Linked DNA regions of Lonchura striata. The protein of the gene in region 2 interacts with the protein of the main gene of each other region in a biochemical or structural test. Links are inferred from orthologs where the notes say so. Each region holds a gene or a part of one and is shown on either strand. Other genes may lie near its edges.

The links. The genes of interacting proteins can lie anywhere in the genome.
Region 1: the proteins of APBB1 (region 2) and EVL form a complex in vitro, tested with the Homo sapiens proteins (2 studies listed by BioGRID). The link is inferred for Lonchura striata from reciprocal best matches to the Homo sapiens genes APBB1 and EVL.

Annotation. Positions count from the first base shown.
Region 1 is NC_134608.1:12,187,481-12,195,454, reverse strand, and holds the start of EVL (ena/VASP-like protein), read left to right. Parts: upstream 1-4,719; 5' UTR 4,720-4,914; coding exon 4,915-4,937; intron 4,938-7,974. UniProt on the Homo sapiens protein: Ena/VASP proteins are actin-associated proteins involved in a range of processes dependent on cytoskeleton remodeling and cell polarity such as axon guidance and lamellipodial and filopodial dynamics in migrating cells.
Region 2 is NC_134604.1:116,947,484-116,955,952, forward strand, and holds the start of APBB1 (amyloid beta precursor protein binding family B member 1), read right to left. Parts: upstream 3,566-8,469; 5' UTR 3,539-3,565; intron 3,128-3,538; 5' UTR 3,020-3,127; coding exon 2,494-3,019; intron 2,098-2,493; coding exon 1,919-2,097; intron 1,659-1,918; coding exon 1,602-1,658; intron 1,527-1,601; coding exon 1,420-1,526; intron 1,062-1,419; coding exon 1,025-1,061; intron 634-1,024; coding exon 496-633; intron 243-495; coding exon 118-242; intron 1-117. Other genes in the region: TRIM3 (tripartite motif-containing protein 3), read right to left, coding at 6,540-6,692, 7,558-7,698, 7,804-7,874. UniProt on the Homo sapiens protein: Transcription coregulator that can have both coactivator and corepressor functions. Adapter protein that forms a transcriptionally active complex with the gamma-secretase-derived amyloid precursor protein (APP) intracellular domain.

The sequences.
Region 1 (7,974 bases), on a different chromosome or scaffold from region 2:
ACCATACAGTCCTACACTTGACTGGATATTTCAGGCACTGTTGCAGTTGTCAATAACTTAATAATCCGTATGGAGCTTTTAGTGTTCACCCCAGCTGGCTGAGTTCTGTTAGATTGCTAGTTGTGACTTGGTGCTGTCCCCAGGGGCTGATAGAAAATCAGTAAGAACCCCATTCTCTCTGGTTCACTCCAGTGCATCTTCCCTAAAGCACTAGAATAAGGCAGATGAGGCTGTATGTGGCAAAACATCCCCTTTCAGCCCTGTGAGTTGCTGTGCACTGGTCTGCACCTGGTACAGGGTATCTGTTCATGAAAATGTTATGTGATACTCCCAGAATGATAAGAGTAAAGCTGTGGGAGAAGAGTATGGGGAAGATATCAGCCATCCTGTGATCAGGAATCTCAAACCCTGGATTTGAAAAGCATGAAGCATGCTTGGGCCAAAGTTGAGAGGGAAAAATTTTATTTTTTTCAATATTCATGGGCTGTGATAATTCCAAGATGTATAAATGAGGTAGGATTTTTTTGGTGAAGGTTGACATCAGAAAATCAAGCTTTTATGGTCAATCTGAAAACCTGAGAGTGAAAGAAGAAGCCTGAAGTATGTTGGATTTTCCTTGTGCATCAAAATTCACATTGTATTTTAATGCAACATATAATAGAAATACCATTGATAAAAGAAGGGGGAAAAAAAGTTCATTCTTGCCCCACCCATATTCCTCTTTAACAGCTGAAGTTTTGAGTCAATACTCCAATACTGAACACATCCTTGTTCTGTAAACTTAAGGGCACTGCAATTATTTTTACAATTTCTCCAGTACCTGAACAAACTAAGGTAGCCACTCCTTTTCTGTTTCAATAAACATTTAAAATCTTATTTTTTTAAGCTCAGGAAAGATGTTTGAATTCAGAGACAATCCTGTTGAAAGGAGATTTTTGAGTATATTCTGGGATGCTGCCTGTGATTGCTACATTTTCCTCTGTGCAGTAATTTTGGAGATGCAGTGAATGAACACTCATTAGATATGCTCTTGTTGGCTCATTTCCCTTCTTTTTGTTTTCTTCCTCATGAATTGAAGTGAATGCTGAATTTTTCAGCACAGTTGCAGGGTTTTTTTTAGTGTGGTCTGAATATTACTTCAGCATAATGGTAATGCAGGCTTAGTGACAGAAGTCCACTGTGTTAGTGGCTTTCTTCCTTTCTTGAGCAAGGGAATAAGTAGTTATTTCATTAAAATGTCTGTCTGTGATCAGATAATGTCACCAAGCATCTGGCAAAGGCTTTGGTGGAATTTCAGGTCAGGAGGACAAATACTGATACATTGATATGCTAAATAACAATAATGCAAGATGTTACACTTGAGGATATTGGGCTCTTAGCAGAGTAGCAGCATGAGGCCCTTGGATGGCAGTGAAATGCCAGATAAAACAAGAAATTTCACCATATCCTCTGCCTTGTTCTGGTTTGTCATACTTCCAGGCTTTTTTTGCATCCTTTGCTTTTTAGACAAGCTTTCACCAAGGATAACCACTTCTATTATCGTCTCTCTTGTTTGTTAGAGCCCAACATTAAAATTGCAAAGTGTTTCCCAAAACCTTCTGCTTGTCTTCAGTGGGAGGGACACTCAATGTCACATCTTTTTGGCCTCTGATCAGAAGGTGGGGTCTGGGTCCCACAGTTCTCATTATATAAATTATCCCACTCAATCTTTAGTAAATTCTTCTTTCATGTGACATAATTTCAGTTTCTGGTAAAGAGAGGGACATTTGTCATCAAATGTCTGGACTGGTTATACTGCCAGGAAGGGAATAAACAGCTTCTTGTGAAAAATGTCATTGCTGATTGTGGTTTCTGACATAATTTCTGTCTGCTTCTCAAGATCTTCAGTCTGGTTTATGGCACAGGAAGTTACAGCCTTGGTTAAAAGTTATAAGGAAGTATTACAGCCTTGCATTTATTTATGTGGCCTAATTTGGCCATTGCATGTGTTCATGTGACTTTCTGAAGCCCCTGTGTGTTCTGTTTGGTAAATTTTCATGCTGAGGCTCATTCATGTCTACAGGAGGACATGATGGTCTCAGATCTTACTATTGAATATGGGAATCCTAGTAATTAATGAATCAGAATTGAGACTATTGGTTGTTTCACATGACAGAAGTCCTGCTGTTTCTGTGTGTAATGCTGTCAGCTGTTGTGAAAGTGCTAGCCAAGAAAAAAAAAAGTTAAAATGTTATCCCAATGAAACCTTTCAACAGCTGACCTCTACTGTATATGAAAACTTTGTGGAGGATGTTTGCTTTTCTAGTCCTTCACAGTGAACCCACTGATGACAGAAGCCTTGACTTGAACAGTTAACTATTTCATTGCATTGTGGCTGTTGAGAAACTGCAGAAATTGGAAGACTCAATAGTGATTCTGTCAAGTTTGTTTCAAGAAGAATGCTTAGGGGAAGCAGTATGTTTGCTCTTAATTCTGTAGAATGGTTTTATTTTAAATAAACACCATAAAAAAGAAGCATGTTTTAAGTGAAAACTAGCCCTTTTCTACTTGATTCAAGCTAGAGAAAGATTGTGGTGAGCGAGAAAAGAGAAGCTCAGAATTCTGTCCTTCCTCCATGAGGGATGTTGGCTAGCTCTGAAGGTATAAAACTATTTCCTACAAGGTCAGGAGCAGAAAAATTGCTTGCAAGGGGTACCTCTCCCGTGCCCAGCTGCTTGGGTGCTGTATACAGTGAGCATACTTGTGGTGAAGTCAGCCTAAATATGGCAGGCGGCTTCTTCTGACGGCTGCGTTGTTCTTTTCTCTGCCAATTTTAATCTTTTATTAGGCTGTAGCCAGAATCACCTACCTTGCAGTCCTTCTCTTGCTGGATGCTTGTGGAAGAATTAATTTCTGTCAGATGGTGTGACTGCATGTGTTTTAGTGTTCCTACGGCGTGCCTTTATTGTCACTTAACACTATCACATTTGTTTAAAGGAAATAAAATGAAACCCAAGGTCACTACTACATTAAAATCACTATGTCTCAAATTAATGTGACTTTTTTTTTTTTTGTTTGTTTGTTTCCAGTGCTGGGGTTTTTTTGCCATGAGTGCCTTTTCCTTTCATCCCAGCCCTTTTTGCCTGTATTTCTCAGAGCCATGAGGTCAGATGCCACAGTTACCATGGCCTGGACCCAATCACTGTGTCTAGGAGATGTGGCAGTCTGTACCCTGTGGATGCTTTTCCAGTCTCCAAATCCCACAGCTCAGTGGGACAGCCATTGCCTTAGAGCATGTAAATCTCAGGAGCTGTAGTTTGGTTTGGCTATTTCAGACTCCAGCCAAAATCCTCCTTGTGTTTCCTTGTGCTAGAAACCAGCCCTAGCAGTAAAAGAGGCAAGTCAAGGAGGGGGGCAGCCCCAGAGGTAGCTTTGAATTTGCTGTCTCCCTGCGACTTTCCCATGCAGCATATTCTCCCACAGCCTCGTTCTCTCTTCTTCCCAGGGCTGGGGTTGATTTCCCAGGATTAGAATCTCCCTCATTTCCAGGAGCCCTCACCTTTCACCTTCTCTCCAGCCAGCAGGCAGTGCTGGGTGGCCGCAGGCTGTGGTGGCTGATGCTGAGGCTGGCGCAGCGTGCCCGGCCCCGGGGTTCAACCTCCCATCCCGCCGCTGACCTGGCCGCCGGGCAGAGCCCCTGCAGCCTCACAGCTAACACCCGTGCAGTCCCTCAGCAAACGGGCGATGGGGTGCGACTCCCGCATGTCCAGAATTCCCACGGGATTGCTGCGGGGGTGGAGAGCTCTGGCTGCCGCCGTCGGGGTGCGTTCCCCGGCGCGGTGCGCAGTGTTCGCTCCAGCTCCGCACGCCCGGCTGCCGGGCCGGTGTTTCCGAGGCGCGGCCGTGCCGTGCCTGGCCGAGCCGCTCCGGAGCGCGGCCGGGGCTCCCCCGAGCCCGGCGTGCCCCGTGCCTCCCGCTGCCCCGGGCCTGGCTTTTGGCGGCCGTGTCGCCGGGCTTGTCCCCGCGTGTCGCCCCCGGGGTGCGCAGCGGATGCTCTGCCCCCTGCGCTGGCTGCGCTGTTGCCATGGAGATTGCGTGCGCTGTTGCTAGGCAGCTGAAGCATCCTCGCCTGCACACCGCAATGCCACGAAATGCTCAACTTTCCTCATGCCCATCTCCCTTCTGTGATCTCGCAGATATGACTCCTTTGGCTCTTATCCCACTTCATTCACTTGCACTGCTGCGATTTCTTGGTGTTAACCCTGTAAACCCTAGAAAGCCCGCACGGCCCTGCAAATAGGGTTTATGGCAATGAGTTCAGGGCTGAAGGAGTTAAAGTGGTTGGGAATAGACTACAGAGGAAATGATTTCTAGCAGATAAACTACTTTAAATGTTCTGGCATTCATGGAAGGGGAGGTTTGTGGATGGAGTCTTTTGTTCCATCACTGATGGTTTAGATGAATAAAAACAGACTAAAATACCGCTACAAGGTAAGAAAATCAGCTTGAATGGGCCTAATTAATCTCTTCTGTTACGATATATATTTAGTTTTTTATTATCCTCTGCTTGTGCTTGTTGATTTTGATGTAGCATGTGAATGATAATTTAGCGATGAAGCCTGTCGTGTACCATATTTGACTTATTTGGCTTGAATAATAAAGATATCAGCCTGTATTCTTGGAGTATACTGCATTAATCAGACTTGCAGGAATGATCACATGGTACTCTATCGCCTTTTCCTGTTAGCTGCTGCTTGTCAGCAGCTGGCTGAGCTGTAGGCTGCAGGCCAGTATCTGCATACCCTTTCTCCTCAGAATATTCCAAATATACTGTCTCGTCATTATGCATTTTGCTGCAGTTTGACAAACTAAATGGTCCTCTGCACGTTAAGAAGATTATTTTAAATTTCAGAGCTTTTGTGTAGTTGCTAGGCCATGTATGCATTTGAAGAATTCAGGTAGGCTCTCTGTTTTATACATCAGTGTGCTTGGTTTTTGTTCTCACAAGGTTTTTGCTGTGTAATGTCAGTCAGCTCTACAGTTAGTTCGTCAATGTGCAGATATTTATTGTGTTTTAGAATCTCTACCCTGTGCATGGGGAGAAGTGCTTGAAGGGTTCGTTGCAGGTAACGGTAGCTTAACTGCATGATGAAGTGCAAAGCTGGGTAATTGATTATATCTTGCACAAATTTCATAGCCATGCAGCCAGAAGCAGCGAGTACAGGGTAGTTATAAATATAAACCAGAAACTGTTCTCTTTAAAAGGGTCTTTGCTATTTTTAGTCCTGGAGAATCTGACAGATGCTCCTCCAAGATAAAATACTGATGGTGATAGAGAAGAGAAAATTGATGCTTGGATTGTACATAGGATTATATTTTATATGCTGCTGCAGAGTATACATGTCTTTTTCATAACCTTGTAGCTGCAGAATTACTTATGAATTATATTTAAAATAAGAATATTGTTTAGTTTGATGGGGTTGGTTTGTAGCTTGCAAACATTTGAGCAACTGTGATTGCTAGAATATAAAATTAGCACTTTTTATTTGATATTGGTTCTGCTCGGTATTGCCTCTGCCCCCTCTCCTCCTCCATCCCCACCCCCAGTATAACTCCATCCTTATGCAAGTATTGAAGTCTATTAAAACCCCAACAGATATTTGAAGACATGAAACAGAATTTCTACACTCACTAACAGACAGTAATTTTCCTATGCAGTTTGGGACTTGAAAATTTCTGGTCAGTAGTTGTGGGGTGGGGAGTGTCTCACTTTTTGTAAAAATTTTTTTTGCTTAATGTGTTCAGTTGTTATAACTTGTGTAATGAAAATTGTCCAGATAAAATGGTGACAACATTGAAACAGCACTAGGCATCACATTGTGATACGTTTGTGTACTGTTATTATAATGCATCTTAAAATTAATCTTTCTTTTTGATTCAAAAAAATGGATTGTTTGACCAAGTATGTAACTAGAGGAGATGATGGATTCTCTTTCTAAACACAATGAGCATTCTTTATCAAAAACCTTAAAATGAAACTTTCTACCCTCAGATTAGATATTTTTAAGATTATTTCTGCCTTTTGTTAGGCAAATATATTGGCAATTTCCATTATTTTGTCACTTGCTGCTCAGTTCTGTTTTTGAGTGGTGGCAAAAGCGGCAAAAGCAGGTACAGGACACCCCCTCTCCCCAAAATGTTCTGATTCTAGCTGCAAGGGCTGAGGAGATCCAGGCTGACTGTGTATATTCCTGCTGCTGTGAAATGCAGCATGAATGCTGTCTGAGGGGAAAGATTTTACTAGAAGACTAGATAATGCTGTGTAACTGCTGTTGTCAGGGCTGTCAGGAGATGCTTGGAATCTTGACATTGCTGATTGTTGGCAGTAAATTAAGGTGAATTGTGCCCCAAACTTACTGTGAAACTTACTGTGCCCATGGAGTTGTTTGTATTTCTGCCAGTTCGTTGGGTCCTGTTCTTAACTGAGTGAAATTTTCAATAAATCTCCAATGAGAAAAAAAAAAAAAAAAAAAAAAAAAGGATGCTTTTAAAATTTTGCTTTTAAATTCTTAGCTGTCTTTCAGTGGCTTTCCTAGACATCTTGGGCTAGAAAGGCACCTACTTTTATGGCAGGAATGGTCAAATGCTGATTACACACCCATTAGGCTTATTAAATTATGTGTCATCCTCTCTTGGACTTGACTTGAAAATAGTATTAACATTTGATGTGCAGACTGCTAGACATTTTCTTTTAAGTGTTGCACTGGTAGGGCTGGTGTTTATGTATAGCAGCATTTAAATGGCATTTATTTTATTAGGAATTTCTGTGGTGTTTTGTTGAGGTTGCATCTTCATGTTGATGGGGTTTTTTTAATAGTATGATTATTCTCGTGCCTGTGGCTATTTTAGATTTTGATGGCATCAAAACAAATCTTGCAAGATAAAGATTTAAAAGATGTCTAGTTGAGCAGTGGGGTGGAAGCCTCCCTGCCAGGGGCTCCTGGAAGCAAAGTGGCTGTAGCAGCAGAGGGAACTCTTCTCTGGCCTAAGGCCCCCAGCTCCAGGGTTGCCCCACTCTCGTCCAAAGGTCCCCATCTTCCATGTGCACAAAACACAGGCTTGCACTCATCTCTCACCTTGGCCTTAACCTGAAGTGGATGCTCACGTGTGTGTTGGAGCAGCAGGGCTGTTCCATCCTCCAGTGCACCCACAGGCCTTGAGTACCCAGGTGTCCCCAGATGTGGGGAGCCCAGTGGTGCCTTCTTATGCAGACACAACCATGACATCTTTCTGTGTTACTCTGCTGGCTTTTTTCTGTCTCCACACTGGCTTTTCAAGACCTGCAGGACTCTCCAGATGGGTGGTGTGGGCTGTGGCACCCTGAGCCTATGCCAAGAGGCATCACTGCAGTCAGGCCACCCAAGTTCCCCTCTGACTTCATTTTGATGCAGCCATCTTCACTTCCCTGGTGAAATGGTGCCAAGTTATTTTTGTGAAGTGTTAAACAGCTGCTGGACCTCTCTGAAGAATTGTCTCACTTAAAGACTAGAAGTGACTCTGGTGTACTGTTTGTGAAAAACTTCGTAAAGCCCTTTGGGATGATATCTTTCCTATGTGGTTACTGGCTGGATGAAGAGAGACTTAAGCCTCTGACAAAACAGGGAGTAAATCCATAGAATAATCTTACAGCTTCTTGTATAGCCAAGCTTGGTTTATCTTCCTTTTGGAAAGAACCTAATATCCCCTGAAAAACTTTGCTTTTAAAGCAGGGTTAATGGAGCTAAGCCCCTTCTCAGTCCATATGGGCTTCTGATTTCTGTGTGCTGTGGGTTGGGCTCTTTTTATTGCTGATTCCTGCGCTGTCTTCATAAAATCCCAAAGATCGCATATAATGGGTTATAATTGGAGGCAGGATTGTTCCTAAGCCGTGCTTTTATGATCTGCTGTAAGATGACTGTGCACGTGAAGCCATCAGGAGGATGCACTTGGCCACGA
Region 2 (8,469 bases):
GGATCCCCAGCCTCTGCAGACACCAGAACCCCGTGCCCTCTACACCGGACACCAGTGCCACCTCAAGCTCCACACCCGTGGGCATCCCCGTGCCCCAACCCCACCCGTGCCCCCCACCTGCTGCCATGCCGCCCCACGCCCCACACGCGGATGCCGCCCACGGGCTGTGCATGCAGCAGGGCCCGGTCCTGGGGGTCCACCAGCTTCAGCGTGCGGTCCTCCAGCAGCAGCAGTGCCCGTGCCTGGGGGCACAGGAGGCTCAGGAGGGTGTTCCACTCCCCCAGGTACCAGGGGAGCAGTGGGGAGGGTGTGGGATGGGTTTGGGGCACACAGGGGGCTCTGGGGTCACTCACCAGGTGCTGCGGGAGCAGCACAGAGGGTGTGGGATGGGTTTGGGGCACACAGGGGGCTCTGGGGTCACTCACCAGGTGCCGGGGAAGCAGCACAGAGGGTGTGGGATGGGTGTGGGGCACAGGGGGCTCTGGGGTCACTCACCTCCCCCCAGGTGCCGGGGGGGCCCTGGCGAGGCCCCGAGAGCTGCCGGATGCAGGCGCTGACAGCGCTGCTGCTGCGGCCCGGGCCCAGCTCCTCCTCCCGCAGCTGCACCCAGCCCAGAGAGCGCACCGGGAGGCCCTGGGGGCAAGGGGGGAACGGGAGTCAGTGGGGGATGTGTGGGGCTGGCTGTGGGGCAAGGATGGCATGGGCTAGGGAGAAGGGAGTGATGCGGGGCAGGAAAGACATGGAGCATGAGGGGCTGTGGGGCAGAGATGTGAGGGGCAGGGGGGCAGGCTCAGCTCCCCAGCAGTACGCTGGCCCCTCAGCACCCCACTCTGCACAGCCCCGGGCCCTCGGCAGGGTAGACCCCACAGAGGGGCAGGGCCAGGCCCCTCCCGTGCAGGGACAGCCTGGGGCATCCCTGCGCTGGTGCCTCAGCCCCCGGCAGGGCACCAGGCAGTGCACCAGACCCCACAGCAGTGGGGAAGGGGCCCTGTGGGCTGGGAGGGTCAGCAGAGACTGGCCCTACCTTGGAGTCCAGTACATCCTCCTCGCCCAGGGCCATGCTGCAAGGGGAAGGGTGGAGGTGTCAGCGACTGCACCCTGTGTCTGGGGCCTCTTCACCCCCAAACCCTGTCCCTGAAAGACCTCTGGGATCCCTCGCATCCTATACCTGGGTCATTGCACCTTGAGCAACCCGGACTTTCCCCTCCAAACACCTGCCTTGAGATCCTGAGAGTCCCTCAAGTCCAACCCCATCCTGAGACCACATTTCCCTGCCCCACACCTGGGTCCCTGCCCCCCTCAGCTCCACTTCACCCCGAACACCCTCTCTCAATTCTGTTGCTTGTCACCCAGTGTCCCACATCCCGACAGGCACAGCTCTGCCTGTGAGTCCCCCCAGTCCCTGTGCCCCCCACTCACCCCTCTCCTGGTGATCCTGGGCCTGGTGACAGCATCTCCAGGTCTGACACTCCTGGCTCTTCATCTTCCTCTTCCTCTTCCTCCTCCTCCTCCTCAGCCGTGGGGTCCTAGGGGCAAGGGGGCTCTGTGGGGTTGGGAGGGCACTGACCCCCCACCCTTTCCCATCCACTACCCCCTCTCACCTTCCACAAGTGCCCATCATTGAAGGTCTCAGCCGGGGCAAAGCTCGTCCAGGAAAGCTGCAGGGGGCTGGGTCAGGGTGCTCCATAGGGCAGCCCCCCAGTCACCCCACAAGTGCCCCACGGTTCCCCCCCCCGTCACCCCACAGCACACTGTGGGAGCCCCACGGTAACCCAAGGGCCACAGGTGCCCTGCGCCCCACACAACCACCCCACCATCATGTCCCAGCTACCCCATGCCCCATAGCCACCCCCGTGGCCCCGCAGCAGCTGCAGGACCACCTCCCAGTGCAAGCCCAGTCCTCTTAGTGCCGACTCACGGTGGGCCCCTCGGTGGGGGTGCTGCCATCGGAAGGGCTCTCGTGGGGCCCGCCGGGAGGCTCCCACTGGGTGGTACCAGTGGGGACGTGCCAGTAGTAGGTGCCCGAGGTGTCCTGCACCCTCAGCCAGCCGGGGGGCAGGTCCCCGTGTGCTCCCGCGCCACATGGCCACAGCGACTCTGCGGGGCAGGGGGCCAGAGGGGTCAGCCCCAGCCCCACGCAGCCCCCCGTGCCCAGGGACACGGGGATGGCCCAACAGGGCTCCACAGGGACAAGGGAACATGGAAATAATGGGGGCTGGTGACACAGCACAGTGCCCGGGGGCTGGGGGACCAGGGAGCGGGAATGGCTCCGGAGGCTGAGAGTGTAAGAGTGGGCACACAGCCAGGGACCGGGGAGATGTGGAGCAGATAGGAGCACGGGGACACGGCAGGAAGGAGCGGGTGGGAGCAGCCATCGGGCTCTGTGGGGCAGCCAGAGATTGTCAGAAGTCAGAAGCCTCCATGGGGCAGCTGCGGGACAGCGAGAGCTCACCGTGGGGCTCCACAAGTCCCTGGGGCTCCACCGGTGCCCACCTGGCTCATCGGGGGAGCTGCCGGGGCTGCCCTGGCTCAGCGTGGCCCAGCTCGAGTCCTCGTCGCTGCCGGGGCCGGGCCCCCCGAAGAGGCGGCTGGCGCTGCGCCCCGGCGGCTCCCGCAGGCCCCGCTCCGTGCCCAGAGCCGGCGGAGAGACCCCGGCCCCGTCCTCCTCCTCCTCGTCCTCCTCCTCATCCTCCTCCTCCTCCTCCTCCTCCTCCGAGGCGCCGATCAGCAGCGCCCGCGGGTTCCCGGCGGCGTTCCGGGCATTGCGGGCCCGCAGCCCCGGCTCGAGGGCCCCGGGGCACTCCCCGTGCGCCCCGGGGGAGCGCCCCGGCCCCGGCCCCGGCTCCAGCTCGTTGCGGTTCTGATCCTGCCCGGCCTTCGCCCACCCGGCGCCGGGCAGCTCCTCGGCCGGGCCGCCGGGGCCGGTGCGGGGCTCGGGGGGCGCCGCCAGCCCCAGGCTCAGCCCCGGGCACCGGTTGTCGTTGGCCAGGTCGCTGCGCTTGCTCAGGGCCCCCGACATGGCGCGGGGACCGGCGGGACCCCCGGCAGGGCCCGGCCCGGCTGCCGGTGCTGGGGAGGAGGGCGGGGGGGTCCTACAGCCCCCGGGGCGCCGCCGCGTCCATCGGGCCTGCGGGGAGCGGGGCTGCACCGGGACCCCGGCCACGGACGCTCCGCGGCCCCGGGTCCTCCCAAGGACTCGGCACCCCCCGCAGCCCTCCCCGGCCCCGGGCGGCCTTCCCCAGCACCGGCATCCCCCGCGGCCCCGGCATCCCGCCCGGCCCCGGGGCCCCCGCCGGCTCCTCCACGAGCACAACCCCCGGGGTCGCCCCGCCACTCCCCCGGCCCGGGGTCCCGCCGCGTCCGCCCCACGGCCCTGCCCGGGGAGATCCCACCGGGACCCCGCGCTGCGGAGCTCCGCGCTGCCCCCGGCCCAGCCCCCGGGGGTCTGCACGGGCCCGGCCCGCCCGCCCCCAGCGCTGTCCGCTGCGCGGCGGGGCCGGCCCGTGCCCCGTGCGCTGCCCCCGCTCGCTGCCGGTACCTGCGGCGGCCGCTCCGCTGCCGGGGGTCGCGGGGGAGGGTGGGGGGCTCGGGGCGCGTCACTTCCACTTCCGGCACCGGCCGGCGGGGACAGCGCCGCCACCGGCACCGGCACCGCACGGGACCACCGGCACCGGCCCCGGCCGGGACCACCGGCACCTCTCCGGACCCTCCCCGGCACCGGCAACACCGGATACCGCCGAGTACCCCCCGGGACCGGGAGCCCCAGGCCTTGCCGGAACGGGGGACCTTCCCCCCGGTGATACTCCCGGGGCAGGTGACCCCGACACTGCCCGTGCCCGCCCCAGGGTTCCGGCTGTTCCGAGCGGGCAGCGGGAGCCCGGTGCCATGGACCAGTTCAGCCCAGTTGAATCCCCGGTTACTCCTGCGGCATCCCCCAAGGCGTGGGCGCCGCCGGTTTCCGCCCCGCTGCCCCCTCACCGGCACCGGACGGGGCCGGGGCAGCACTGGGACTCCCTGCGGCTGCTGTGCCCCCGGAACCCCCCAAAACCCCTGCTGGACCGGGAGGGTCTCGGAGCTCCCGGCTCTTACCAGCCCCGGAGGGGAGCGGGGCATCCGGGGGCAGCGATGGTGGCACAGGGTGTGCGGGGTCCCTGCAGCCTGCGGGCACCTGTCTGACCCTCTGCAGGATCACAGACATTCCGTTTGGTAAGGCCTGCAAGGCTGGGTCCAACCTGTGCCTGATCCCACCTTGTCCCCAGCCCAGAGCACTCAGTGCCACCTCCAGGGGACACCTGCAGGGATGGGCACTCCAAAGCTCCCTGGGCAGCCTCTTCCAGAATGTGGCAGCCCTTTCCATGAGAAAATTCCTCCTGATGTCCAACCTGAACCTTCCTAAGTACAACTAGTGGACATTTCCTCTTGCCCTGTCACTTGTTTCCGGGGAAGGTCCCCCGTGAGCCTCGTTTTCTCCAGGCTGAGCCCCTTCCCAGCTCCCTCAGCCCCTCCTGGGGCTCCAGCCCATTCCCAGCTCTGTTCCCTGCCCTGGTCACGCTCCAGCCCCTCCAGGTCTCTCTTGCCTAGAACTGGACAGAGCCCTGGAGGTGCCACAGAGTGCCCAGCACAGGAGACAATCCCTGCCCTGGGGCTGTGCCCACCCTGGGGCTGGCACAGCCAGGGGCCATGGGCCTCTCACCCACCTGGGCTGGTGTCTAGTCCCTGTGACCAGCACCACCAGGGCCATTTCCAGCCTCCCAGCCCTCTGCCCAGCCTGGGGTGTTGCAGGGGTTTGGTGACCCAAGAGGAAGACCCAGCATGGGCCCTTGGTGACCCTCATGCTGTTGGCCTTGGCCCATCAGTCCAGCCTGGCCAGACCCCTCTGGGATCCTTCAGCACATCCACATCCCAACCAACCACGTGTGGTCCATGGACTCACTGAGGACAAGCTCCAGCCAGATCGCTGACAGCTCTGTGGGACAGCGCTGGCCCCAGCAGAGCCCTCGGAGCCCACCCCAGCAGTGCCTGTCCCCTCCAATGGGGCCCCATTCCCACCCCTCCCTGGGCCTGGCCCTCAGCCGGCTGCTCCCAGCAAGGAGCACCTGTCCCAGCCAGGCTGCATGTGCTCTGTGAGGTGCCAGGGAGACAGAGGTGGTGCCAAAGGCTTTGCTGAGCTTCAAGCGGGCACACCCACACCTGTCCCACAGCCACCAGGTCATCCTGTCCCAGCAGGAGACCGAGTGGGTGAGGCAGGACCTGCTGTTCCCAACCCCAGCTGAACCTGATCACCTGGTTGTCCTGCCCATGCTGTGGGGACTCACAGCTGATCTGTACTAGGGCCTTCCCAGCATCAGGACCAGGAACAGGCGTGGACATGCCTGGATCCTCCCTCCAGCCCTGCTTGGGAATAGAGTCACTGGCCACCTCTGGGGCCTGGGACCCCCCAGGGGATGATGAGCAGGGTCTAGGTGAGCTCTGCTGCTGTCCAGGATCCCCCATGGATGGCCAGAGCTGGCGAGGACAGGAGGAGCAGCTCTGTGACCCCCCCACAGCCCCTGTGGTATGCCCAGGGATCCACTGGCCCCAGGGACCTGCGGGGTCTGAGCAGCTCAGCAGGTCATTGACCACTTTCTCCTGGGTACACGGACCAGTATGGACCAGTTCCTACTCCTAGAACAGACCAGTCTGACCCCATGTCAGTATAGACCAGTCTGACCCAGTATGAGTACAGACCAGTCCAACGCAAACCCTGCTGCCAGCATAGACTAGCTTGACCCAACAGAGACCAGTCTTACCCTGTCCCCACTCCCAGTCTGTCCCTGTCCCTGCAGATGGGTCAGTGCTGGCAGAACGCCCAGGCCAGGCAGGCGCCCGTGGTGCCACTGAGCTCCAGGCACCATTCCTGTCCCTGCTTGGCCTGGCACTGCCTGGGGGCGTCCAGCGCAGCTGGGAGAGCCCGCAGGCCATGGGGGCTCTAGGGCAGGGTGTGTGAAAGACAGGCAGGGCTACGGGGCAGCACGGGGCCAGGGTACTTCCAGAATACTTTATTTTGTACATACAGTTTTGTCAGCGTGCGGCAGCTGCCCCACAACCCCTGGAGCCCCCCAGAGCCATGGAGCAGCAGTGCAGTGGGGCAGCAGGCACACACAGTCACCCCACAGTTGGGGAGGGGACCTGGGGAGGTGGGGGTCGCCCTCAAGGGGCATGGAACTCTGGACTGACCACCCCACAGCCCCCCACAAGCCCTTCCAGCAGCTCCCCCTGCCCCTCACACCCCCCACACCTTGGGAACCCTGTCAGCAGGGGCAGTGGGATGCTGGCCCTGCCATGGGTGAGGGGCCAGACTATGACCCTCAGGCAGCCCCCACCCCACGGGACCCTTCCTCACCCCCCCCCAGGCCCGGCTGCCCCCTGGGATAAAGTGCACATGAAGCCAGGATGGCGCTCGGGGGGCAGGCGAGGCTGCGGGGCAGCCGTCGCCCCACGCGCCCCGCTGCAGCTGCAGGTCCCTCCTGCCCGCAGCCGTGCCCGCGGTGTCATGCCCGTCACTGCAGGTAGCGATAGGCCTTGAAGCAGTGGTTGCCCGAGTCGGCCACGACAACGTGGCCGTCGGAGGTGAGGGCCAGCCCCTGCGGCCCGTACAGCGGGTCAGCCGCCGTGTTGATGTAGGACAGGAAGGAGCCCGCGCTGTCAAACACCTGTGGGAGGTGCACACAGCTGTGCCCTGGGGCCCATGGCCAGGGACCCCCAGCCCCGATAGCCCCACAGACCTGCAGGATGCACTCCCTGTGGGGGCATGTGCTCAAAATCCCTCCTAGCAGGACAGGGATCCTCCCCTATTCCAAGACCCTTCTCAGTTGCTTCCAGGTGACCCCAGACCCCTTCCCAGTCCATCCCAGTTCCTCTCGGTGCAAAATTCTTCCCAGTTCCTCACAGTTGACCCTACGCCCCCATGGACTGTTCCCAGTTGACCAGAGACCCTTCTTTGTTGCTCCTAGCTGTCTCTAGACCCCTCCCAGCTGATTGCAGACCCTGCACGGACCCTTCCCCCTTGACCCAAGATCCTTTCCAGGTGTTCTCACTTAAACCGAGTTGTGTCCTGGCTCCCTGCAGGTGCCCCACAGCACCTCACAGCACACACCTGGGCTGGGGGGTCAGGGATGGGATGGAGAGGGGAAAGTGCGGAGCCCCACGGGCTGCACTGGGGAGGTGTGTGCAGGTAGAGGTGTGCAGGTGTCTGAGCAGGCACAGGTGTGCAGGCACAGGTCTCTGCGTGTCTGTGCAGGCACAGGTGTCCGTGTGTCTGAGTAGGCACATGGTGTGCAGGTACAGATGTCTGTGTGTCTGTGCAGGCACAGGTGTCCGTGTGTCTGTGCTAGCACAGGTGTCCATGTGTCTGTGCAGGCACAGATGTGCTGGTACGGGTGTCCGTGTGTCTGTGCTGCTACGGGTGTCCATGTGTCTGTGCTGCTATGGGTGTCCATGTGTCTGCACTGGCACGGGTGTCCGTGTGCCTGTGCTGGCACGGGTGTCCGTGTGCCTGCGCTGGCACGGGTGTGGTACCTGGATGCGGCTGTTGCCCCAGTCAGCCACGATGATGTTGCCATTGCTGTCCACGGCCACCCCTGTGGGCGCGTTGAACTGCCCGTTGCCCTCCCCATGCGACCCGAACTTGAACAGGAACTCGCCCTCAGCGTTGTACACCTGGTGGGCAGGGGGCACAACACGTGGGAGTCACGGGGGCCACTGCAGCCCCCCAGCCCTGAGCGCACTAGGGGGCTCTCAGCAGCTGCCTGTGGCTCTGCTCACCTTCACAGAGTGGTTGTGGAAGTCAGTCACCACGATCTCGTTCTTGTTGTTGACAGCCACAAAATGGGGTCCTGAGGAGACAAAGGGGGCTCAGCTCAAATGGAGCACAGGGAACTTATCCCCAGGATTGGCGTCTCAGCCCTGAAGGGAATGATGGGGTTCAGCCCTGGCCTTATGGCAGGGCAAGGATGAATCCAGAGCCCTGAGGTATGGACAGAGTCCAGAACTCAGAGCCCCCAGGATGGAGTCACTGCCAGAATCTGAGCCCAGCGCCCCAACCCAGAACTGAATCCAGAACCCAGACCCACAATCTGTATCCAGAACCAAACCCAGTGCCCCAATCTAGGACACACAGCTCAGGACCCAGACCCAAACCCAGAACCTGGAACCACATACCAGCCTGGGAACCAGAACCAAACCCTGAACTCAAGAGCCTGGGATCTCAGTCCTGAACCAGAACCCAGAGACAGAATCTGGATCACAAGCCCAGAGCACTTAACGTGGTGCTGGACCAAGAACCAGATCCTGGCTCCTTGTCCAGCCCCCGAACTCAAAGCAGAGCTCAGAAAAAAAGTCCCGAGACCAGAACGCGAACCGACAGCCCAGAGCTGGATGCAGAAAACCAGTCCAGAACTGCAGCCTGGACCTGTCCCCCAGCCTGAGGCC